Linked DNA regions of Macaca mulatta. Each later gene encodes a partner of the first gene's protein in a complex. Links are inferred from orthologs where the notes say so. Each region holds a gene or a part of one and is shown on either strand. Other genes may lie near its edges.

Region 1 (4,175 bases):
GACATTTCTAAAAAGTAATACATATATATCCCTTAACATTTATGTAGTACCTTTTACCTACAAATTGCTATGCAATCGACAGAAGAATAGCAACATTTCAGAAAAGCAACCAGCAGTCTTCTTATATTAAAATTTACAGGAGGAAAAAGCAGGGGAAGCATTAGACCATTTTTCTCAAGCCTCCATTAATTCTATTAACAGCTACAAAGAAAAAAGCCAGGCACATTTGCCCTTTCAAAGGTTCAGAAATAAAAATAAACCTCTTGGTTTAAAGTACATCAAGTCAATGCCATTTGATAACCTAGCCTTTACAAAGCATCTGATTTTATAGAGATCAATATCTTCAAGTGAACGCTCTTACAATAGTAATAGGGACCTATTGTTTTCGAATATAAGATGATGATAGTAAATCTATTAAAGAGATCCTGGTACACATTCCAATTTATTTACAGCAACTATGAAAGTCAGATAAAAAGTAAACTGAAAGGATGTAGAGTCAGGAAATTTACAATCTACTCCTAGCTCTACAACTACTACCTGTGTGACCCTAACTGTCCTGAGGTACCATGCATGAAAATGATTCAGATCTATAAATTGCTACATGTATAGTATTTCTTAGATGACCTCTGAGGTCCCTTCCAACTCCAAAATGATTCTATTTTTTTTTTTTTTTTGAGACGGAGTCTCGCTCTGTTGCCCACGCTGGAGTGCAGTGGCACAATCTGGGCTCACTGCAAGCTCCGCCTCCTGAGTAGCTGGGACTACAGGCGCCCACCACCACGCCCGGCTAATTTTTTGTATTTTTAGTAGAGACAGGGTTTCACTGTGTTAGCCAGGATGGTCTCGATCTCCTGACCTCGTGATCCACCCGCCTTGGCCTCCCACAGTGCTGGGATTACAGGCGTGAGCCACCGCGCCCGGCCTCAAAATGATTCTATTATATATCCAGAATCCAAGCTGTAAAGCTCCAATAAGCAAAATGGTGGTGGGCAGAGGCTAAATAATATTAATTATCACCATGCTGGCACAGTAGCAGAGCAGAGCTCAAATATTAATTGAATGCAGTCATACCTTTTGGGGATGTCTACCCAGTATCTTCTCTGTAAAAGTATCCACTAGTCCCACAGAAAGGCCCACCCTTAGCAGCCAGATTTGTACCCTGTGAACCTACTCTTGTGGTCACAGGTAACAGGGACCTGGGGCGCTAACCAACCTAGGCAAACCTATCGGATTCTCTCTTCTGGGAATATGAAATTGAGATTGAAAAACAGGTCCTAAGCTTGTGGTGAGAACTAAAGGACATATAAATTCAGGAGCTAGAGGGCAACCAGACATCTTCTGCCATGTATTTAAAAAAATTACAAAAAAGAACAAAATGTTGTATATGTATATACACCTACACATACACCACACATGCATATAAAATGGAATATTATTCAGCAACACAAACGAATAAAGTACTAGTACATTCTACAAAATGGATGAACCTTGAAAACATTATAAGTGAAATAAGCCAGATACCGAAAGGCCATATATTGTATGATTCTATTTATGAGATGTCCAGAATACACAAATCTATACAAGCAAAAAGATTAGTAGTTGCCTAGAGATGGAAGGGATAGGGGATTGAGGGAGGTGACAGCTAAAAGGTTTATTTGGGGAATAATGAAAATATCCTAAAACTGGTTGTGATGATGGCTGCAAACTCTGGGAATACACTAAAAGCCACTGAACTACACACTTTTAACAGGTGAATTATCTGGTATATGAATAATACCACAATAAAACTATTTTAAAAAGACACAGATCTTCCTTCTTTAAGCAATTCTTTTAAACTCGATTTCAAGAGTCCCAGGTTAAATACAAACCTCTGTAACTTTCTGTGCCTCTGAAGCAACTCTTTGTACTGTTGTAAAACAAATGTTAAATTCCTGAATGATGGAAGGATATAGACTGTTGAAGTCCAGAAGCAAAATGAACTTATCATAAAAACCTGAAATTAAAAAGCCACGTCATAAAAAGTCTAAAGAAAAGCAGAATTGTCAAAACATCATTATTAAAAGCACTATAAGTATATTAGAAACTACATACTATCCACATACACTATCCAGAGCTGTGAGACAGACAAAAAGGGAAAAAAAGAATCAACTACTGTTCTATAAAATAATGCGAATTAGTGAAAAGCCAGATCACAAAAGAGGGAGAAAAAGATCCTGTCTCTCTTTAGAACCAGCTACAACCAGTCCTTTCCCCAGCTGCCCCCAAAGCACACCATTATCATGAGCAAATACCTTCCCAATCAGGTATCTGAGAGGTGTCACATCCATTTAAAAAAAAAAAAGTTCAACTCTCCTTCAAAGCAAGAATTCTTTGAAGAATTCCCCTACCTACTCTCCCACTCCCACCCCAAATAAAACCAAGTGAGTGGTTTGTTTGTTTGTTTATTTATCTATTTATTTGAGACGGAGTCTTACTCTGTCTCCAGGATGGAGTGCCGTGGCGCAATCTCGGCTCACTGCAACCTCCGCCTCCCGGGTTCAAGCGACTCCCCTGCCTCAGCCTCCCGAATAGCTGGGACTACAGGCGTGCACCACCATGCCCGGCTAATTTTTTGTATTTTAGTAGACATGGGGTTTCACCATGTTGGCCAGGATGGTCTCGATCTCCTGACCTCATGATCTGCCTGACTCAGCCTCCCAAAGTGCTGGGATTACAGGTGTGAGCCACCATGCCTGGCCGAGTAATTTATTCTTTTACAACAGCTTCAAAATATAAAATGGACAGCACACTTAAACCTGTACAAAAACTGAGCTAAAATCAAACAAGAGACACATATATATAAATGTCAGTAGTGGAACGACCCACCCTTTTTACTTGCAAAGGATGAACAGAAAGCTACTATATTTCTGTAGGACATTTACAAAGAGTTATCTTCACCTTGAGAAGAAACTGAATAAAAATAAATGTCCACTATTAAGACAGTAATAATTGCAAACACATAAGATAGTTTATTCTGTGTCCAGTGTCATACTAATTTATCCTTAAATCCCTGTGTGGTAGATATTACTCTTATCTCTATTTTACAGAAGAAACTGAAGCTTACAGAGGTTAAACAGGCAGTCCAAGATCACACTGAATTCAAACCCAGACCTACATAACACCAAGTACTAGTGCTCCATTTCATTATAACTAATAATAAAATCACTTTTGTCAAAAATGTCTCCTATTCAGAATTAACTTACTGGATAAAATTCACATTAATTCCTTCACAACAATGTGAATATTCTTAACACTACTACTGAACTGTACACTTGGGAATGGATGAAATGGTTTTTTTTAATACAAAAAATTAGCTGGGTATGGTGGCACACACCTGTAGTCCCAGCGACTTAGGACGCTGAGGCAGGAGGATCACTTGAACCCAAGAGGTGAAGGCTGAAGTGAGTAGAGATCACACCACTGCACTCCAGCCTCGGCAACAGAGTAAAACTCTGTCTCCAAAAAAAAAAAAAAGTTTTTTATTTTTATTTTTTTAAAGATTATTTCTAGCTCTGTGTACCACAAAACATCTTTGCCATTCATGACAATAGGGAAAAGGTATTCTGTTAAAGTTAAATTTGGTGGTTATTGTCTGTATTCTTTAACTTTGCTGTCAACTGAACTGGTCAGGACAAACAGCTATCTATGTACTGGACAGCTACCTATCTATTGGACAAACTACGCTTACAGACCAAACCCAACCTACTGCTTATTTTTGTACCATCCATGAGCTTAAGTATGGTTTTTACATTTTTAAATGGCTGGAAAAAAATCAAAAACAGTATTTCATGACCTATGAAAACTATATGAAATTTAAATCTCAATGTCTATAAATATTTCATTGGAACACAGCATAACAAAATTCACATTAAGTCTATGTCAGGTGACTGGCAACCAAGATTTTCACATGAATGAAAGATAAAAGTCATGAGACCTATTTGCTGACCTGTAAGATATAATTCAGGTCTTCTAGTTTCTCAAGCCTAGATCCACATTAAGAAACTCCTTAATATTGGGAGAAAACCAATTCACTGCCCAGCCTTACCAACTTTGGGGTCCAAAACCAAGCCTCCAGCATAAGCTGCTTTCTTACGTCCTTTCTTATATTTATTGGTATCTCCATCAATTTCTTCATC
Region 2 (4,175 bases), on another chromosome or scaffold:
CAGGGTCTCTCTGTGTTGCCCAGGGTGGTCTCAAACCCCTGGGCTCAAGTCATCCTCTTGCCTCAGCCTCCCAAAGTGCTGGGATTACAGATGTGAGGTGAATGGTTAGCAAGCATTACTCTCTGAGCTCTGCCTTATGTTAGATCAGCAGAAGCACTAAATTCTCATAGGAGCATGAACCCTATTGTGAACTGCGCATGTGAGGGATCTAGGTTGTGCACTCCTTATCAGAATCTAATGCCTGATGATTTGAGGTAAAAAAGTTTCATCCTGGAACCATCCCCAACTCCTCCCCATCTCTTTGAAGTCCGTGCAAAAATTGTCTTCCACAAAACCAGTCCCTGATGCCAAAAAGGTTGGGAAGTGCTGCTATGCAGCATCTCTCTCTCTCTCTTTTTTTTTTTTTTGAGACGGAGTTTCACTCTTGTTGCCCAGGCTGGAATGCAATGGCGCGATCTTGGCTCACCACAACCTCCACCTCCCGGGTTCAAGCAATTCTCCTGCCTCTGCCTTCCAAGCAGCTGGGATTATAGGCATGTGCCACCACACCTGGCTAATTTTGTATTTTTTGGATAGACGGGGTTTCTCCATGTTGGTCAGGCTGGTCTTGAACTCATGACCTCAGGTGATCTGCCCACCTGGGCCTCCCAAAGTGCTGGGATTACAGGTGTGAGCCACCGTGCCTGGCCTGCAGTATCTCTTAGGTGTTAGATTTGCCTTCCATTAGCAAGAAGATATAGAAATTCCTTAGCTTCTTCAAATTCTTGTCTTTTTTTTTTTGAGACAGTCTCCCTCTGTTGCCCAGGATGGAGTGCAGTGGCACAATCTTGGCTCACTGCAACCTCTGCCTCCTGGGTTCAACCGATTCTTCTGCCTCAACTTCCTGGCTAGCTGGGATTACAGGCGCCTTCCACTACACCTGGTTAATTTTTGTATATTTAGCAGAGACGGGGTTTCACCATGTTGCCAGGCTGGTCTTGAACTCCTGAGCTCAAGTGATCCGCCTGCCTCGGCCTCCCAAAATGCTGGGATTATAGGCATGAACCACTGCGCCCAGCCAGCTTCTTCAAATTCTTGAATATACAACTCGGTAAACAGTTTAGACATGTTTACCATAAAACCCACCTATATGCATCAGAAACAAAGAGCAAAAGTACTGCATATATAATAGTTGTTAAATAAATAGGTGGTGAATCTCAGAGACTGATTATTCATACTTATTGATAGTTTAATCTTACAGTATAGATCCTAGCATTTAGAAGTTGTTTAGGAAATATGTGTTGAATCAGACTGGATTCAGTAACACCACTTGGGTAACTGCTGAAGAAAGGACACAAACATTGTATGCAGTTCCAGGACAAATGCTGATCCATTCTGGCTGAATCAGAGAATTAATTATTGGAGTGACAGATGGATATCTATATAAAAACCCTGTATTAAAGTGAAGCTTCAATATATTATCTTACCTCTGGTTCTATGTTTGACATCAGATTCAGCTTCATTCTCCTCTTTTTCCTCTTCATTAATGGAAATGGCATCCAATTCACGGCAGATGAAGCTGCAAGTAACAGAACAAGATAATTTTTTTTTTTTTTTTTTGAGATGGAATCTCGCTCTGTTGCCAGGCTGGACTGCAGTGGTGCAATCTTGGCTCACTGCAACCTCTGCCTCCCAGGTTCAAGCGATTCTCCTGCCTCAGCCTCCCGAGTAGCTGGGACTACAGGCATGTGCCACCAAGCCCAGATAATTTTTGTATTTTTAGTAGAGATGGGGTTTTACAATGTTGGCCAGGATGGTCTCGATCTCTTGACCTTGTGATCCGCCCACCCTGCCCTCCCAAAGTGTTGGGATTATAGGCATGAGCCACCGTGCCTGGCCACGAACAAGAGAAGTTTAATGTTGGTTTCTGGTCAGCATTATCCAGTGTATAATAGCATGTGAATCCCATAAAATTTACTGTAAAAAAATTATGTGGTCAACTTAAATTTGGGATATTCTAAACAGCATGATCTCTTCTTGGAGTTTTTCATGCATATTATCATATGAAAGACTGTGAAATACTGTAGTAAAAGATACTTTTAATCTGTTTAAGTCAGAATTTCCTAAATTTATTTGACCTTAAAATCTTTTTCTTATGTAACAGCAGGTGAAAAGCTTGTATTGTTCTATTAGGGCATCATCATCTAACCTTTGAACCTTATTTGGTTTCCCTAACCAAATATACCATTCCCATGCAACTAATTCTCTAAGAAGGAGGCTAATCCAATTTATTTAAAATTCAGAACAACAATTACAAACAAGGAGTGATCAATGATTTGAAACATACCTTATGGTTGGAACAGTAAATGGATCAAACTGGTCCACTTTCTGCAAATCAATAGGCACAGATATGCGACCTGTAAGAAGCAAAAGTTATAAACTGATGATTGTGGACTATAAATCATTATAGGCTCTCCTATAAGTTATTTTTCGTCAAATTTTTTTTTTTTTTTTTTTTTTTTTTTTTTTTTTTTGAGGCAGAGTTTCACTCTTGTTGCCCAGGCTGGAGTGCAATGGCAAGATCTCGGCTCACCACAACCTCCACCTCCCAGGTTCAAGCAATTCTTCTGCCTCAGCTTCCCTAGTAGCTGGGATTATAGGCATGTGCCACCAGGCCCAGCTAATTTTTTGTATTTTTAGTAGAGACGAGGTTTCTCCATGTTGGTCAGGCTGGTCTCGAACTCCCGACCTCAGGTGATCCACTCGCTTTGGCCTCCCAAAGTGCTGGGATTACAGGCGTGAGCCACTGTGCCCAGCCTAAAATTTTTTATCTAAGGCTTAGACAAAGGGTTAAACTTATCTGTTAAGAACCGTATTTAGAAATATAAATTAAAGTACTTTCACATTAGCTGTGCCCTTACTTTTTTTTAGAGTTAAGGTCTCACTTTGTCACCTATGCTGGAGTATAGTAGCATGGTCATAGCTCACTGCAGGCTTGAAGTCCTGGGCTCAAGTGATCCTCCCACCTCAGTTGTCTCCCAAAGTGCTGGAATTATAGATGTGAGCTACTGCACCTGGCCTGGCCAGTTTTTCAATTTTTGTTGAGTTGGGGTCTCACTGTGTTGCCCAGGCTGGCCTTGAACTTCTGGCCTCAAATAATCCTCTTGCCTCAGCCTCCTGAGTTGCTAGGATTACAGGTGTGAACCACCATGTCCAGCATGCCTTTTACTTCTCTTTAGAAAACAACTGGCCAGGTGCAGCGGCTCACACCTGTAATCCCAGCACTTTGGGAGGCCGAGGAGGGTGGATCACGAGGTCAGGAGGTCAGGACCAGCCTGGCCAAGATGGTGAAACCCCGTCTCTACTAAAAATACAAAAATTAGCCAGGCGTGATGGCGGGTGCCTATAATCCCAGCTACTTGGGAGGGAGAGGCAGAGAATTGCTTCAACCTGGGAGGCGGTGGTTGCAGTGAGCCAAGATCACGCCACTGCATTCCAGCCTGGGTGACAGAGCGAGACTCTGTCTCGAAAAAAAAAAAAACCAAAAACACCAAAAAGCAAATGTGAAGACTGTTTCAATAAGAGCTATTTCCCAGTTGCTCTTATCCCTACTTTTATTTCTATATTTAGAAATAAAGTATATTTAAATATTCCATATTTAAGTTCAGGACAATCTCAGATTTAATAAGTCCTGAAAATAGAACAAAATAGATGGAAATATTATATTTACATTAGCTTAGTTTTTTTTAATTGAGATCAATACAGATGCCCACATGTCAGATACCTTTAAAAAGCATTCTGGAAATAAAATAGAAATTATTCTACTCTTTTAACCCCTCCTAGGATACCATACAGAATTTAACATATCTCAAAAATGACATGAGGCTGGGTGCAGTGGCTCATGTCTGTAATCTCAGCACTTTGGGAGACTGGGGCAGGTGAATTGCTTGACCTCAAGAGTTCAAGACCATCCTGGGCAATATGGCAAAACCCTGTCTACAAAATATTAGCTGGCTGTGGTAGCATGTGCCTGTAGTACCAGCTACTCAGGAGGGTGAGGCAGAAGGATTGCTTGAGTTTGGGTGATTGAGCCTTCAGTGAGCCGAGACTGCATCAGTGTACTCCAGCCTGGGTGACAGAGTGAGATTCTGTCTCGAAAAAAAAATTTTTTGTTTTTGTCAGTGCTAGGGAGTAGA

What was found.
Region 2: the proteins of POLA1 (region 1) and PRIM1 are in contact, whole or in part, in a cryo-EM structure (PDB 7OPL), measured with the Homo sapiens proteins. The link is inferred for Macaca mulatta from reciprocal best matches to the Homo sapiens genes POLA1 and PRIM1. Residues at the interface, in NP_058633.2 of Homo sapiens: Tyr439, Ala440, Pro447, Glu448, Lys449, Ser450, Phe876, Thr877, Thr878, Gln880, Leu906; in NP_000937.1 of Homo sapiens: Asn92, Thr93, Val94, Lys95, Leu96, Gly97, Ala98.

The regions. Positions count from the first base shown.
Region 1 is NC_133426.1:24,558,475-24,562,649, reverse strand, and holds part of POLA1 (DNA polymerase alpha catalytic subunit), read right to left. Parts: coding exon 4,085-4,175; intron 2,971-4,084; exon of another isoform or gene 2,841-2,970; intron 1,994-2,840; coding exon 1,869-1,993; intron 1-1,868. UniProt on the Homo sapiens protein: Catalytic subunit of the DNA polymerase alpha complex (also known as the alpha DNA polymerase-primase complex) which plays an essential role in the initiation of DNA synthesis.
Region 2 is NC_133416.1:63,911,705-63,915,879, forward strand, and holds part of PRIM1 (DNA primase small subunit), read right to left. Parts: intron 2,397-4,175; coding exon 2,327-2,396; intron 1,559-2,326; coding exon 1,467-1,558; intron 1-1,466. UniProt on the Homo sapiens protein: Catalytic subunit of the DNA primase complex and component of the DNA polymerase alpha complex (also known as the alpha DNA polymerase-primase complex - primosome/replisome) which play an essential role in the initiation of DNA synthesis.